Lonchura striata: one gene and its partner. The protein of the gene in region 1 purifies or fractionates together with the protein of each later gene. This does not show direct contact. Links are inferred from orthologs where the notes say so. Each region holds a gene or a part of one and is shown on either strand. Other genes may lie near its edges.

Region 1 (7,129 bases):
GCACAGCACAAAGAGAAACTGCTCTAAATCCCCCCATCTGTGGCTTGATCATTCTTCCCTTTCCCACATGGTTACAGCATTTTTGCAGAGTGGAAGTCGTAGCTATGAGGACTGAAAGAGCTTAAAGCACAGCTGCTTTTCACATCCATTCAGCTCTCCTCAGCCCTCTAGCTCTTTCCACAGCCTGGTCATGTCTGTGAGGCTTAGAAGCAGCACAGTGCCTCATAAAAACAAAAATTGGCCATAATTTCATATGAGTTCACAGCTGAAGCTCTTTGTTAGAGAGAGTAATTTTCTATAATAAATGACTCATTTTAAATTATATTAAGCCTATAGGTTCATTTGCGTCCTTTGTACCTGATGCAACAACAGTCAGTGAAGCCATAAAAGCCTGGAGCAAACCAGTAAGCCTTGAACTGGGATTCTCCTGGAGATATGTACTGGAGGGACACCAGTAAGAACAAGCTATCAAAGGATTTCTTATACATGTTTGCCAGCAGCCCTCTGGAGAGAAGCCCCAGGCCCTACCATCTTATCCTCTATGGGACAAGTAATCTTAGAACATATCTCTTTACTGGGTGGCAGAGGTATAAACATGTAAGAAATTCAAGGAAACCTGGTGTGCATCCTCCCTCTGCCAGAGCTCAGTGCTGCAAAGAAGAAAATGTATTTGGGCTCAATGGAAGAAATTGGTGACCCAGAGTTTCTGACACGTTACACCTCTGCAAACAACAGCATAAAACAGTGGCTGGGTCTAGCTTACTAATACCTCTACAACTGCATCTTATTGCTGTTAGAAGAGGCTAAATAACTATTCCTCCTGCCCCTCTTTGTAAGGAAATTAATCACTGATACAAAAATCCAGCAATCTTATAAAAAAAAAAAAAAAAAAAACTGGCTGAAAACTGGGAGAGTGAAGTAATATGTGTGAGACACTCACTAACCAAATCACTTTTTTCAACACCCTTGGTGCTGTTTATTCACTGTCCTGGCAGGAAACCAGACATCTTCTGAAATTAACAACGGGACAATTTTTCACCTCTCTGGTCCAGGTACTTATTTCCAGACAACTCTATTTGTAGCTGAAAATTTCTTCAGCTACTCTAAGGTATTTGGGAACTGAGCTCAGCATTAATGCTTGCTTCTCCTCCACAGAAATCTCTCCCTCATTGCCAAGAGAACATGGGTAGCACTGGAATTCCATGGGCCAGGTAGGATTCAATAAGGTAAGGATGGTGTCTCAAGGCATGAGCTATCCTTAAGCATTTCACCCCAGGCATTCAGTTCCACACAGAACTGAGCCCTTAATGAAAGGGAGCATAAAATCTCGCAGAAATAGTCAGATTTCAATTTATGTATTCACCGGCCTGGGAAACGTTTGCTCTAATCTCTCCCCTGGCAACTTTCACTAAAAATATTCTTTCATTTACTAATCTGTTCTTTGGGAGTTATTAGCTTTTTAATAAACATGATTAAATACTGAGGGAACTTGTACTTGCTTTCCAAGCCATTCTGGTTTTTTAGAGGATCAGTGACCAGTGTGGGATGTATGGAACCTCTCACTATTTTCCCCTCTGGAAAGGAAGTGGGAAATCTTTTACTTATGTTCTGCCTTTCTGTTGTTTAAATGTTGTTACAGATCTGTTTCTGTAAGCAAGACGTGAACTAGCTAAGAACAAAATAATCTGAAGAAAAAAGTTATTCTCAGCATTTCCTTTGCAGTTATTATTGCAGAAACGCCTTTGCTTATTTTGCAATTGATGACAATACAACAATAAATGTGAAGAAGTGACAACTGTTTGTTTCTGAGCAAACAGCTGGATCATTCTCCTAATTTCAGCAGAGTATTTCAGCCTTCTGGAAATGGGTCAATCGAGTGTTACTAAGCATCTGAAACTCAGAGTAAAAATAATGACTATGAGAAAACATACTTTATGTGAACAGCTGCTGAGTGGCGGATGAAAATCCTCTTCTTCCACATATTTCCTTTTAAAGTATGTGATCTTGGATGTCGTTACAGGATTTGAAATTCCCCTGTAATGTGATCCTGTGGGTAATAAATCAGATATGACAAATGACATGCGGTTTGCCGGAGGTTCTCCAAACAAAATACTTTTCATTTCCCTTCGCGCTACAGGAGAACGCCGCCGCATATTTTCGCATCGATCGGCGGCGATCAGCAATAAACCCTCTCCCGCCAGGCGCAGGACCCGCGGCCGGTGCGAGCGGCGGCGCGGGGAGCCGGGGCCGCCGCAGGGCGCTCGGTGCCGGACAACTGCGCCGCGACAGCGCCCGGCGGCCCCGCGCACCTGCGGCCCCGCGGGAGACCCCCGCCCTCCGCCCTCCGCCCGCCCCGCTCCGCGGACAGCCCCTGGTGCCGGGGCCGCCCGGTGCCCCCGCGGCGGTGCCGTGCCTACCTGCGGCGGGGGCCCCGGGGGCCGGCGGGCTTGGGGCCGCGGCCGGCGGGGCTGCGGGGCCGGGGCGGCCGCAGCAGGGCGGCTCCCAGAGGGCGCGGTAGGCGGCGAGGTCGGCGGCTCCCTCGGCGGCGATGGGGCGGCCCAGCCGCTGCATGGGCAGCACCAGGGTCATCGCGGGCGCCGGCACCTGGAAGCGAAGCAGCGCGGTGAGCGCCCGCCGCCCTCACCTGCCCCCCGCCCCGCCGCGTTCCGCCCCCCGCGGCCCCCAGCAGCCAGACCTCCGCGCACACGTATATGAAAAACATACGCGTATCGACCTCACATAGACACGCGTTTAGGGTTTTTTCCCCTCCCTCCTTACGGCAGGAGAAAGAGCGGAGCCCTCTCCCACAAAGGGCGCGGGGTCCCCGGCACCGGGAGTTGGTGCGCGCCGCCCCCGGCCCCGCTCCCGCCGCCCCCGGCCGCGCTCCGCTCCCCCCGCCGCCCCTTCCCGGCCCCGGCGGCGCTCACACACCGGCTCGGATCCGCTCACTGCCTTCCCATTTCCTCCCGGCGGCGGTGGCACGGCGCGCTCGGCACCGGCGGGGTGCGAGTCTGCCTGTCTGGGTGCGTGTGTCTGCGGTGCGTGTGTGTGCGAGAGAGAGCGCGCCCAGCAGTCCGGGATCGCCTTCCTTTCTTCTTTCTTCCCTCCCAAACGATACAGACAGCGGAGACTTAGGTAGTTGTTTCCACTAGCCCCGATCGGACTGAACTGGATCTGCCTCCAGTCAAAACACTGCGAGACTAAAGACAGAAAATTGGCTCCGGTTTCACGCCGTGAGTTGCGGTCCCACCGGAGCCAAGCACAACATCGGCGGAGCGGGCGGAATATTAAGCAGGAGCGGGGACTCCGGGGCCAGCGCCGGGCTGCGAGCTGCCTCCTGCCGCGCCAGCGGGCGGGAGGGGAGGGGAGCAGGGGGGGAAGGCGGCAAACTTTCTGCGAGGAGCGAGGGATGAGTTCATAGTCACCTACTTCTTGGCAGAGGAGCGCGGAACAATGCGCCCAGACACGGCCCGGCCCCTCCCTCTCCTTCCTCCTCCTCTCTCTAAGAAAGCGGGATGTAGTTTCCCCTCGGCGCAGCCCTCCCGGAGGAGGGCGACGGCCCGAGCAGGCGGCGGGAAGGAGGGGCTGCAGGTGGGCAGGTGGAATTTCAGCAATTGTTTGTGTTAGCAGCCGAGCGCTCTCGAACAAGAGGAAAAAATAAACCGCAGCAGAAGAGGGAGGAAAAATAAATCGTTCACATCTGCCAGTTGTTTTCTTAAATCCTAGCACAAGGCTGCTACTTTATTAAGAAACGGCTTCCAGCGTGCGCTGTTTGTGTCTTGGATGCCTGCATGCATGGATCTGCCTTGCCTCCTCACCGGGGCACAAACGGGAGCTGGAGGCACAGGCAGCTGCGGTCCCCAGGCAGTTTGCCTTAGTAAGGGCCACCAGTCTCGCTGCAGGAGGACTGACAGGTGCCTAAACCCCTTCCTCAGAGCCAATTTACTGCTAATGCACTGCATATAGACCTCAGTCATTTTTCTTGCCATCTTGTTTTTCTTGGACCAAGGAACAGCATAGGGAATGGCAAGCCGCTGGTTGGCCCTTTGAAAGTTACCCCTGACACAGACAACATCTATTATTTATTCCCCACACCTTGTCTTACCAGCTGAGAACCAACACATGGAAGGAGTGGTCAAAACAACTGAGTCAGTCTGCTGATCTAACAGCAGGACCAAGAAGTGACCCCAAGAACCAGCTAAAACCTCATATATTTTGTATCTGAAAAGATTACACCATCATTAGAAAGCAGCAATGGACTCTTCTCATTAATCCAGATGGAGGAATCATTCACAGGGGCACATCAATCTTCTCACATTGGCAAGACATCAACACTCAGTGTTTGTCCTGAGAGAATAAGGGTTGGAAGAAACTCACTACTGCTTCTGGAAGTCAAGATTCTTTGCTCATAATGAATACAGCATCTCTTTGTGAATTTACTTTTTTTAAATGAGAATCTGAGATTTCAAGTCTGCATCTTTTTCTTACCATATTTCTTCACAAATAGGTCTCTCTAAGCTCAAGCAGAAACATGCAGGAAGGAAGGAAGGAAGGAAGCTTTCTGCATAGTGCTGCTAATTTATCTTGAAAAACTGAGTTCTCTGGACAGCCACGAAAGTAAATGAACTGTTTTTGCTATTTACAACATGCAAAATTAATAGAGGCAGGCCAGTTCACTTCTGTAAACAGCAACTGTCCATGCACATTCTCCATATTTCCAAACTGTATAAAAACAAGGCATAAATAATATCGCTTCCCTGGGAGAAACAAAACACAACCACCAGAAAACCAAAGCCCCAAACAAAGCTTGTAGATCTCAGCATGTGTTACAAAGATTTAGAGGTGGCTCTCAGCTAAAAAATAAGTCCTATTTTGTGGCAGAGTAATTGCTTCAGCATACAGATGCTGAGAACCAGGCTTTTAAAAGGCCTGGTGACTCTGGGTGCGCTATTTGTTCCCCTTGGATGTTGAGAAGCAGTGATTTCCAGCTGTTGCAAATGAGTGGGAAGAGAGCTGCAAGCACCCAAGCACATGGGAAAAGTTGGCCTCCTTGAAGGTGGAGTTGGACACAGCAGAACTGTGAGCCAGTGTTTACTGAGGAAGCACCATCAGACCCAGCTCTGCAAACAGGACCTCTGGCACTGCTCCCCAAGAGCCAACCTACTGCTTTTCCCCATTAAGGGTGGCAAAATCCATCCCTGAGTATCTTGCCAGAAGTCACACAGCAAATCAGTGTCAGCGCCAGAAATAGAACCAGATCTCATCATTCTCCAGCCGTAAGCCCAACCCATTTATATTACATTATCTTATGCAATGGAGGGATTTCATCCAAAATCCCGTTGGTTTCAATGAGACTTTGCAGAACAGCACACACATTGTTACATTTCCATTAGCGCCTCTGGAAATAAAGGATGAAAGATGTACATTTGAACATACAATACATTTACAATATAAAATTACAGCAAAAGGTTGACACTTGGGGCTGGATTCAATTTTGAAAAATCCATTTAGGAGCCTTGTGTGGGCTTCAGTGGCATGGAAGCCAGGCACAGTTTTTTATTGAACCCAGCCCTCCATCCTTAGGCTACCAGAATTTTTCCATTTTGTCAGCCAAATGCATTCAGTGTGAGGACACCCCGAGGCATCAGCCTGAAGGTTAAAATGTCAAACTTTTTCCGTGTTCGGTTTCACACAGTAAGACGACTATACATCGCAAGCACGCTACTCCATTTGCTGGGGTTTTCACTCCCTATTCCTCCAGAGCCATTATGATGTTAATGAGAGAACTGTAATGATGCCATTCACATTACAAAAAGCCTGATGCGATGTCAGAGAAAGGGGCTTTTTATACAGTTCCAGAATGCCTCTAAAAACCCAAACTTAAATATAAAATGCCCATGACTATAAAGCTGCAAGTCTCACTGAGACCAATAAAAACAAGGGAACAGACTTAAGACGGCTATTCCTTGTTTAGCCCTGGGTTTGTACCCAAGAACTGCAGCAGGTTCAGTTTTTATCACATAGTGTGGAGCTTTCCATTGCATAACAACATGGCTTGAGGAGAGAATAGCATTTCTCAGCTGTGCTATGCCATTTTTAACATCTGGATTGCAGTACTTAGAAAACAAAATTGCCATCGTTTTGGTAGCTGTTACCTTTCTGACATTTCAGAAAATTTTCAGTGCAGAAGCAATAAGGAGTCCCATTGCACACAGCCTGTGCAGACCCACTGTCTAAGGAAGCAATGACAGCTGGCAAGAGGAAGGGGAAAGGCACAAACACATACCCAGACTGATGTACCTCCCTTAAAAAAAAACCCCGACTGCATCACCTGTAAACCAGTCCAGGCTAACCTCATCGTAAACTACCTGCTCTTTATGGTTGATGCAACAAAGTTTGGTGTTGCCAATTTAGCTGAGGGAGGCAGGGCATCCTGTGGACAAGAGCGTCATGGAAAAGGGCATAAAGGCTCCCCTGGGAGCAGCAGATAAAGGCATCACTGGCAAAGAGTGCACAGCCATGCTGTAGAGACAATGGTGGAGTGATGACAGCTATGGCAGAACTGTGACAACCTCACATGGGAAAATAAAAGACTGGATGGAGGCAAATAAGGAGGAGAGGCAGGAGGTAGCTTGGCTCTGACCACAGCAGCGGACAGGGAAGAGGATGTTGGGAGTTTGTTGTTTAAATAGATCAAACTGGCTGATGTGGCACAGGTTCAAGGAGGAGGAAGTTACAAACAGAGATGGGAGATAATGAGGACCTTGATTAAAATGTTTATTGTTTGGATAGATGCATATGTAGCTGTAGTAATGTTATGAATGAAGCAGTGGAAATGCAAGGGACACCTAATCACAGCACACTGGGGCAGCCCAGTCACAGGAAATGAAAGCAAAGGATCAAAGACAATTCCAGCACTCAGGGCTTTGGAGACAAGCTGAGCAGCAAGGCTGCAAGAAGTGGAAAACCCTCTGGAACTGACTATAATGGATTTAAATTGAAAACTGGACTTCCAAGAGACAGCCCATGGTAGGGAGAGTTCTTCCTTCTCTTACTGGTATAAGGTAGCTGAGGAGAACTGCATCATGCCAGGGCACAGCAGCCCCTGGTCTGTGACAAGGGAGAGTCA
Region 2 (7,883 bases), on another chromosome or scaffold:
ATCAGTGCAAGTTTTGGAGTCATGTGGTTAACACTAACAACAGAATTACAACACAATCTTTAATTAGCTTTGTTTTCAAATTGTGATTGTTGCCATCCCTAATATTAAGTCTTTCACCCAATCTCTATTTTATAATCTGTTTTATCCTTCAGTCCTCTCCCCCGAATCCAACTAAACTATTCCGTTCTAGAAAAGTCCTACCCAACCCTTTACAAAATCCATAGTCAAGAAGTGATGGATTCTCCTGGTCTTTCAGAAACGGTCAGACTGAACAGTGCCCTTCTCTTTCCTGACACAGAGCCTGGACAGAGGTCAGGGATTAGTCACCGAGGAAAGGCAAGGCACGGACAAGACAAAGAGGAGACAGTGATTTTCTGTATTAATGACCCACTTAGGAAAATCCAGCTGCCAATCTGATACAGTTGTCCCAGTGTTTGTGATGAAGCCAGACACCTGAGAAACAACTATGGAATATAAAATGTGCAATAGAACTGCACTGTAAAAGAACGGATTTTCTGGTAAAGTCGCCTGGCTGAGCAGTTTCAACTCCTGAATAAACCCCTAAGAAAATCTGGCAAAACACTCTGCATGGAATAGGCTGGACAGCAACTTCATGGTGTCCTCCTCCTCTAGAGAGCTAATTTTTCACAAAACAGACCAAAAATTGACAGCAGTAGCAAGTTTGCACTGTCACAAAAATTTATGTGTAATTTGAAGGCTATTTCAAGGCAACAGTTGTCCATCAAGCAGGTTTAGATGTGCAGTTTGGTAAGAGAGGATTTAAAAGATGGCAGTGAGTAAATATGTCCCTAACTGAGGCCCAAAACCTAGCCATGTATTTGTACTCTTACTAGGAAATTAAATTTGGGCAGTTATTAGAAAATAAGTAGCATATTTTTTATATTCAATTTCAAGGCAAAATGTAAGAGGAGGGGAAAGGCCACAAATCAAAACAAAAAACCAAGAAGTCACAAAGCCTGTAAATAGTTCTGGTATTCCCACGGGAAAACAAAACTTTAGTGTTAGTTTTGCAAAACCAGGTGCTGAACGATTCCTGGAGCTCTCCTGCTCTGTGTAAATCCAGGCTGCTCAGGAGTTATCTGGGAAGCAAAGTGCCCCCAGGAGCCAAAAGTCCCCAGAACTATATCCTTTACTCATGGAGAACTGGCTTTTAGTCACACAGGTGACAGACCTGAGAAAAAAGAACCACTTAAAAAACATACAAGCTACTTCTGTACATTTCTACAACATTTCTGGGAACTTCAGAGCAAGCTACAAAACATACAGAGGGAAGAAAAAGGAAGAAAACAACTGAGTGAGTGTAGTTTCTCGAGCAGTTTCCAGTCTATCCCTCCAATGGCCATTATTTTAAATGGAATGCCAAACAAGTGGCATGAAAATGAAAACACTGTCAGCGTAATTTCCCGTAGCAGGCAGCAAGGAAAAATATTTACTGCATCCAGTAATAAAAATAAAATCCCAAACCCAAGCTGAGCACACAGGCCCTGCAAGTTAATTCACACTTTCGAAAGAAGCACTGCCAACCTGGACAGTTAGAACACATGAAATTTAGGGGCAGAAAAAGAACTTTCTCATCAGAGTCAAGCAAAACTCCACCCAGACTCTGCACACTACAGCAAACACTTTTCCCAGTTAAAACATTTCTTATTTTCTACTCTGTCCAAAACATGAAGCGCCTGGAAAGTTTCAGAGAAATGTGAAGGTGTGCCCTTTTTCCCTGCTTAATATCCCTATTTATAGCTCCCTAACGTTAACAAGTGGGAATCAAATCTCTCCACAGCTGCAGGAACCCTTTAAACTGCACTTTTCAATGCAGCACAAATGACAGAGCTGCACTCTCTGTGCGTCAGAGCGAAACTTGACAAGCCTGACAGACTCCACTGGTGTTTCTTTTTTTCCTCTCCCTGTATCGTATCACTGTTGTTACCTTTTATCCTGAGCCCAGAACTGTAGACAGTTATCCTAAGCCCAGAAGTGTGCCCAGTTCTGGGCTCCTCAGGACCAGAAAGCCAAGGAGCCACTGGAGAGAGAGGCCACAGAGTCCTTCTGGGACTGGAGCATCTCTGAGCTGAGGAGAGGCTCTGGCAGCTGGGCTGCTCAGGCTGCAGCAGGGAAGGCTGAGGGGGGACCCCGCCGAGCCCTGCAAATCTCCCCGAGGGCTGGCAGGGCCGGTGCCAGGGCCAGGACAAGGAGCACGGGCAGAGCTGAGGCACAGCGAGTTCAGCCCAGCGAGAGGAAGAAAAGAACTCGTGTGCATGGAGGGGCAGGGCCCTGGAGCAGCTGCCCGGGAGGGGCCGGGGTCTCCCTCTGCAGAGCCGTTCCGAGCCCTGCGGGACCCGTTCCGGTGTGCCCGGCTCCCGGTGAGCCCGGGCCGGGGGATCCCAGAGGCGCCGCAGGCCCAGCTACCCAGGGATTCAGGGATTGCACCGGAGACCCGGAGGAAGGCGCCGTGGCTGCTCCGTGATGCTCCAGGGGTGGGAGCTCGCTTAGTCATGGCACAGCCCGGCACGGCCGGGGATGCTGCGGCGCTGCCCGCGGCCGCCCGAGCGCGCAGCCGGGCTCCCCTCACCTTCCGCCACGTCCTCGTCGATCGCCCCCTTCACCTGCAAGAAGCACCACTGCACCTCGCTGCTGCTGCCGCCGCCGTCGCCTCCAGCTCTCGCCACTACTGCGGAGGAGAAAGGGCGGTGAGCGAGCGGGGAGGGAGGGAGAGGAGCGCCCCGCGCCCGGCCCGGCCCGGCCCGCCGCGCTCCCGCATCCCCGCCGCTGCCGCCCGGCGCGGCCCGGCCTGCGCCCGGCCCCGCGGCCCCGCGGCGCCCAGCCCCGGCCCGTCCCGGCCCGTCCCGGCGCGGAGCTGGGGCGCGGACACAGACCTGCCATGGCGGGGGGAGCCGCGGGAGCGGGGCCGGGAGCGGGGCCGGGAGCGGGACGGAGCCGCCCGGAGCCGCGGGAGGGTTCGCGGTTTCAAAATGGCGCCCATTGCCGGGCGGCCCGGCCGTGACGTCACCGCCGGCTCCCCTCGGGGAGGGCGGGCCGGGCGGCGAGCGGGGCGGCACGGCGTGCAATGGCACGGCACGGCACGGCACGGCACGGCACGGCGTGCAATGGCACGGCATGGTACCGGCACGGCACGGTACCGGTACGGCACGGCATGGTACCGGTACGGCATGGCATGGTACGGCATGGCATGGTACAGCACGGCACGGCGTGCAATGGCACGCCACGGCATGGCACGGTACCGGTACGGCACGGCATGGCACGGCACGGCACGGCACGGCGTGCAATGGCACGCCACGGCACGGCACGGCATGGCACGGCATGGCACGGTACCGGTACGGCATGGCACGTACCGGTACGGCATGGCATGGTACGGCATGGTACGGCACGGCACGGCATGGCACCGGTACGGCACGGCACGGCATGGTACGGCATGGTACAGCATGGTACGGTGCGGTACGGCATGATACCGGCACGGCATGGCACGGCATGGTACCGGCACGGCACGGCACGGTACCGGTACGGCACGGCACGGCATGGTACGGTGCAGTACGGCATGGTACCGCACGGCACGGTACGTCATGGTACCGGCATGGCACGGTACCGGCACGGCACGGCACGGCACGGTACCGGTACGACACGGCATGGCATGGTACAGGCACGGTATGCCATGGCACAGCACGGCACGGCACGGTATGGCACGGTACCGGCACGGCACGGTCCCGGCCCCGGCTCCGCGGGACGCGCAGGGCACCGGAGGATAAGCATGAGGAGGAGGAGGAGGAGGAGGAAGGAGCGCGGCTCGGAGCCGTGCCGGCGCTCCCAGGCAGCACGGGGGGCTCAGCATGAGGAGGAGGAGGAGGAGGAGGAAGGAGCGCGGCTCGGAGCCGTGCCGGCGCTCCCCAGCCGCTCCACACGCGGCTTTCCGTGAAGGGACGGGAGCGTCACAGCAGAGACCTCGCTGTGCGTCCCGGTTTGGTTCTGCTCGCTCCCCCAAGGGTTAATTGTGATGAGGGGAAAACCAAACTAACCAAAAGAGCAAAAACCCAAACGTGCCTCTGACTCCTTTGCGCCAGAGCCGGGTGAGGGGAGGGAGGGAGCAGGGCCTCAGGGACAGGTTTATCACAGAATTCCAGAGTCGCTGGGGCTGGAAAAGCCCTCAGGATCACCGAGTCCACCCTGTGCCCATCCCCACCCTGTCCCCAGCCCAGAGCTCCGAGTGCCACCTCCGGGTGACACCTCCAGGGACGGGCACTGCCACCCTCCTGGGCAGCGCCTGCCGAGGCCTCAGCAGCCCTCAGAGACAGCCTTTCCTAAGCCCGGCTCTGTGTCTCAGTCACAGCCTTTCCTAAACCCGGCTCTGTGTCTCAGTCACAGCCTTTCCTCAGCCCGGCTCTCAGTCACAGCCTTTCCTAAACCCGGCTCTGTGTCTCAGTCACAGCCTTTCCTAAACCCGGCTCTGGTGTCTCAGTCACAGCCTTTCCTCAGCCCGGCTCTCAGTCACAGCCTTTCCTAAACCCGGCTCTCAGTGACAGCCTTTCCTAAACCCAGCTCTGTGTCTCAGGCACAGCCTTTCCTCAGCCCGGCTGTCAGTCACAGCCTTTCCTAAACCCGGCTCTGTGTCTCAGGCACAGCCTTTCCTAAGCCCAGCTCTGCTCTCATGTCTCAGTCACAGCCTTTCCTAAGCCCAGTTCTCAGTCACAGCCTTTCCTCAGCCCGGCTCTCAGTCACAGCCTTTCCTAAACCCGGCTCTCAGTGACAGCCTTTCCTAAACCCAGCTCTGTGTCTCAGTCACAGCCTTTCCTAAACCCGGCTCTGTGTCTCAGGCACAGCCTTTCCTAAGCCCAGCTCTGCTCTCATGTCTCAGTCACAGCCTTTCCTAAGCCCAGTTCTCAGTCACAGCCTTTCCTCAGCCCGGCTGTCAGTCACAGCCTTTCCTAAACCCGGCTCTGTGTCTCAGGCACAGCCTTTCCTAAGCCCAGCTCTGCTCTCATGTCTCAGTCACAGCCTTTCCTAAGCCCAGCTCTCAGTCACAGCCTTTCCTAAGCCCGGCTCTGCTCTCATGTCTCAGTCACAGCCTTTCCTAAGCCCGGCTCTGCTCTCATGTCTCAGTCACAGCCTTTCCTATGCCCAGTTCTCAGTCACAGCCTTTCCTCAGCCCGGCTCTCAGGGACAGCCTTTCCTAAGCCCAGCTCTGCTCTCATGCCTCAGGGACAGCCTTTCCTCAGCCCAGCTCTCAGTCACAGCTTTTCTTCATCCGGCTCGTGTCCCCCCACACCGTTCCTCGCCCCGGGCAGGAGGGCCCGGCCCGGCTCCGGAGCTGCCCGTGGTGATTTGGGATCCAGCCCCAAGCCCCGGCCCTGGGGCTGTGCTGGCCGGGTTTGGCCGCGGGCAGGGCTGGGAGGAGGGAACGCGGCCGGGATCCCTCCGGATCTGCGCTCCTGGAGCTCCAGGGCTGCAGGTGTCCGACCACGGCTGCGGAGCTGCCCCTTCCCTGCATCTCCTGCCTCACAAACTCAATATTCCTGCTGCCCCGTTGAGTTCGGGCCTCTCCTGACTGCTCCTTTTCCAAGCACGGATACTGGAATTTGTGGAGATGCAATTTCTGCCCCTAAATCCAAAAGAGCAGAAAGAAATGAAAATGAATTCTGTGTTTGCCCCAAACCCCGTCTATTAATACATTCCTGGTCTCGCAGTCCTTTGGAAAATGGTACAATTTAAAGAACTTTAAAGCCCAGCTGCTCCTAGGGAAGGGCTAAGTGCTTGGAAAGGCGACAGGTCTGCACTGTTGTGTCTCAGTCTGAGGTGGTTTCCTAAGTCCTGTTGGTTGTAGGAAATGCAAGGAAATTGGTTGATGAACAGACTTGGTTAATTGTGATCTTGAGCCCAGGTGAGTGAAGAACATCCCCTTACAGAGTAAGAGTCTTGTTAGGAACAAGTAATTCTCTCTGCTGGAAGTCTTTATCTTACTGAATGGAATTTTACCTGGAGGTTCTTGAGGATTTTCCTGTGGAAGGGCTAAAGTCTAGCACTTGCCTGAGTTCAGGATGGTTCCTCTCAGAGACATTACTCCTCTGGGCTTGCAGCCTTTTCTTGGTAATTTAGATACAGAAATGCGTTTGACTCAGGTTTTCCTTATTTAATTTCTTGCTATGACATCTGTACCCATTTATAGACTCATTACTTGATTTGTGTTTATTCCTTATGTAGTGTGTTGTGTATCAAGTGTTTAAATAAAATATTTTTTTACTTAGTCTCTTGGCTGTAGGAAAGTCATCCTGAAGGGCAAAGAATGCCTTTAAACCCTGCTCTTTGGCAGAGTCCTTCTCCCATGCCCTGGCACTCCAGGCCCTTGTAAATCATCTCTCTCCAGTTTCTTGCTGGCTCCTCCAGCCCCGTGAGGCCACCCCGAGGTCACCCCACCCTTCTCCCCTGCAGGTTCCAGTGCAGCTCTGCCAGCAGAGCTGCTCCATCCTCTGATCATTGGGTGCCTCCTCTGGATCCTCTGCAGCAGCTCCAGGTCCCTCTGAGCCAGCTCTGCAGGTGGGGCTCACCTGGGCACGGGGCACAATTCCCCTTTCCTGCTGCCCAGGCTGGGGACAGGGGGTTGGGAAAGCTTTCCCTGCTCAGCCCGGGGGGTGTGGGCAGAGGTGTTGCACAGGCCGGGCACGGGGCTGGGTGTGTGCTCTTGCAGAATTCCAGAACTCGGGCACAGGGTGACAGAGCGGCTGTTCCCAGTCGCTGGGTCCCTGCCGTGTACTGGGGTGCACGCACAAGGAGCTGACGTTCTGCCTGGCCACGCCGAGCAAGGAAAGCTCCCGAGAACAAAGTTTCCACGTGTGCTCTGGAAATAGGATCCTGCGGGGCCAGCTGCCCTCCGTGCCCCGTGTGCTGCTGCCCCGTCCCTCATTTTCCACCCTCTGCAGAGGGCCAACAGCCCTGAGCCTGCCAGGGCGCTCTCACTGCCTCTGCTCTGAAAAGAGACGGTGCTGCAAGGGTAATTCCCAAAAACACGGGGCAATCCATGGAAAGAGCGTTTATCCTGAAGGGAAGTACAGCTGGTGGGCACAGGGAGTCACATTTTGTTAACAGATAGAAACCACACGCACCTCACGTGCTAATTGACAGCACAACACCTGATTATTCTTAGGTGAGAAGCGCAACAGATCTTTTTCCCATGGAATTTTTGTCAGTGTTCCAAACTTCGGAGCAAGCCTGTGGTTTGGCAGCTGGTGGGTTTCCTTATGAGCCCTGTGTTCAGTAATTTTGCTGTGTTTTTTACACCTATGGTGTATGAAGAGTCCTTGTTCACCTCTGGTGGTTCCTGCCCAGGTCCCTGCTCCCGCAGCTGAGCACAGACCCCTCTGTCCCTGAAATCCTGGTCTTGTATGAGGTATGCATGGCATGCTGACTTTTCCTGCTCCAAAGCAGACTTTTCCTTCCATCCAAGCCCCTCAGGAAAGCCCCTTTGTCACCTCCAGGCAAATGTCCTAAGCCTCGTGGTCCGGCTTTTCCCTCCCTGCTGTCCCCGTGCCATCACCTTCCTGGCTGTCGCCAGCCTGTCCCGTGCACAGCTCCCGTGGCTCAGTGTCCCTCTGCCCTGGCACCAGCCCAGCCCTGGCCCTGGAGAGGGGAGCTCTTCCAGGAAGGAGCAGCACAGCGTTTTCCTGGCACCGTGTGTGTCCTGGGGAGAGGGACGGGAGGGACGAGGCCATGCGCTCTCTATTTCTGGCTGCAGGGCACAGGGTGCCCGCTGAGTCGCTGTTCTGCCCTGCTCACCCTCAGGTAGCCTCCCCAGGTGTTCCACAGGGCTCCCAGAGAGGCTGGAGCGTGAGGAGAAGGGAGGGATCACAGAGCCCTTCTCA

The links. The genes of interacting proteins can lie anywhere in the genome.
Region 2: the proteins of SERTAD4 (region 1) and PPP2R2D purify together in Homo sapiens (affinity purification with mass spectrometry; 3 studies listed by BioGRID and IntAct, counting the BioPlex papers as one, with this or other methods). This does not show direct contact. The link is inferred for Lonchura striata from reciprocal best matches to the Homo sapiens genes SERTAD4 and PPP2R2D.

Annotation. Positions count from the first base shown.
Region 1 is NC_134605.1:12,753,033-12,760,161, forward strand, and holds the start of SERTAD4 (SERTA domain-containing protein 4), read right to left. Parts: upstream 3,012-7,129; 5' UTR 2,932-3,011; intron 2,605-2,931; 5' UTR 2,590-2,604; coding exon 2,418-2,589; intron 2,048-2,417; coding exon 1,932-2,047; intron 1-1,931.
Region 2 is NC_134609.1:31,970,020-31,977,902, reverse strand, and holds the start of PPP2R2D (serine/threonine-protein phosphatase 2A 55 kDa regulatory subunit B delta isoform), read right to left. Parts: upstream 3,031-7,883; 5' UTR 2,902-3,030; coding exon 2,895-2,901; intron 2,690-2,894; coding exon 2,591-2,689; intron 1-2,590. UniProt on the Homo sapiens protein: Substrate-recognition subunit of protein phosphatase 2A (PP2A) that plays a key role in cell cycle by controlling mitosis entry and exit. Involved in chromosome clustering during late mitosis by mediating dephosphorylation of MKI67.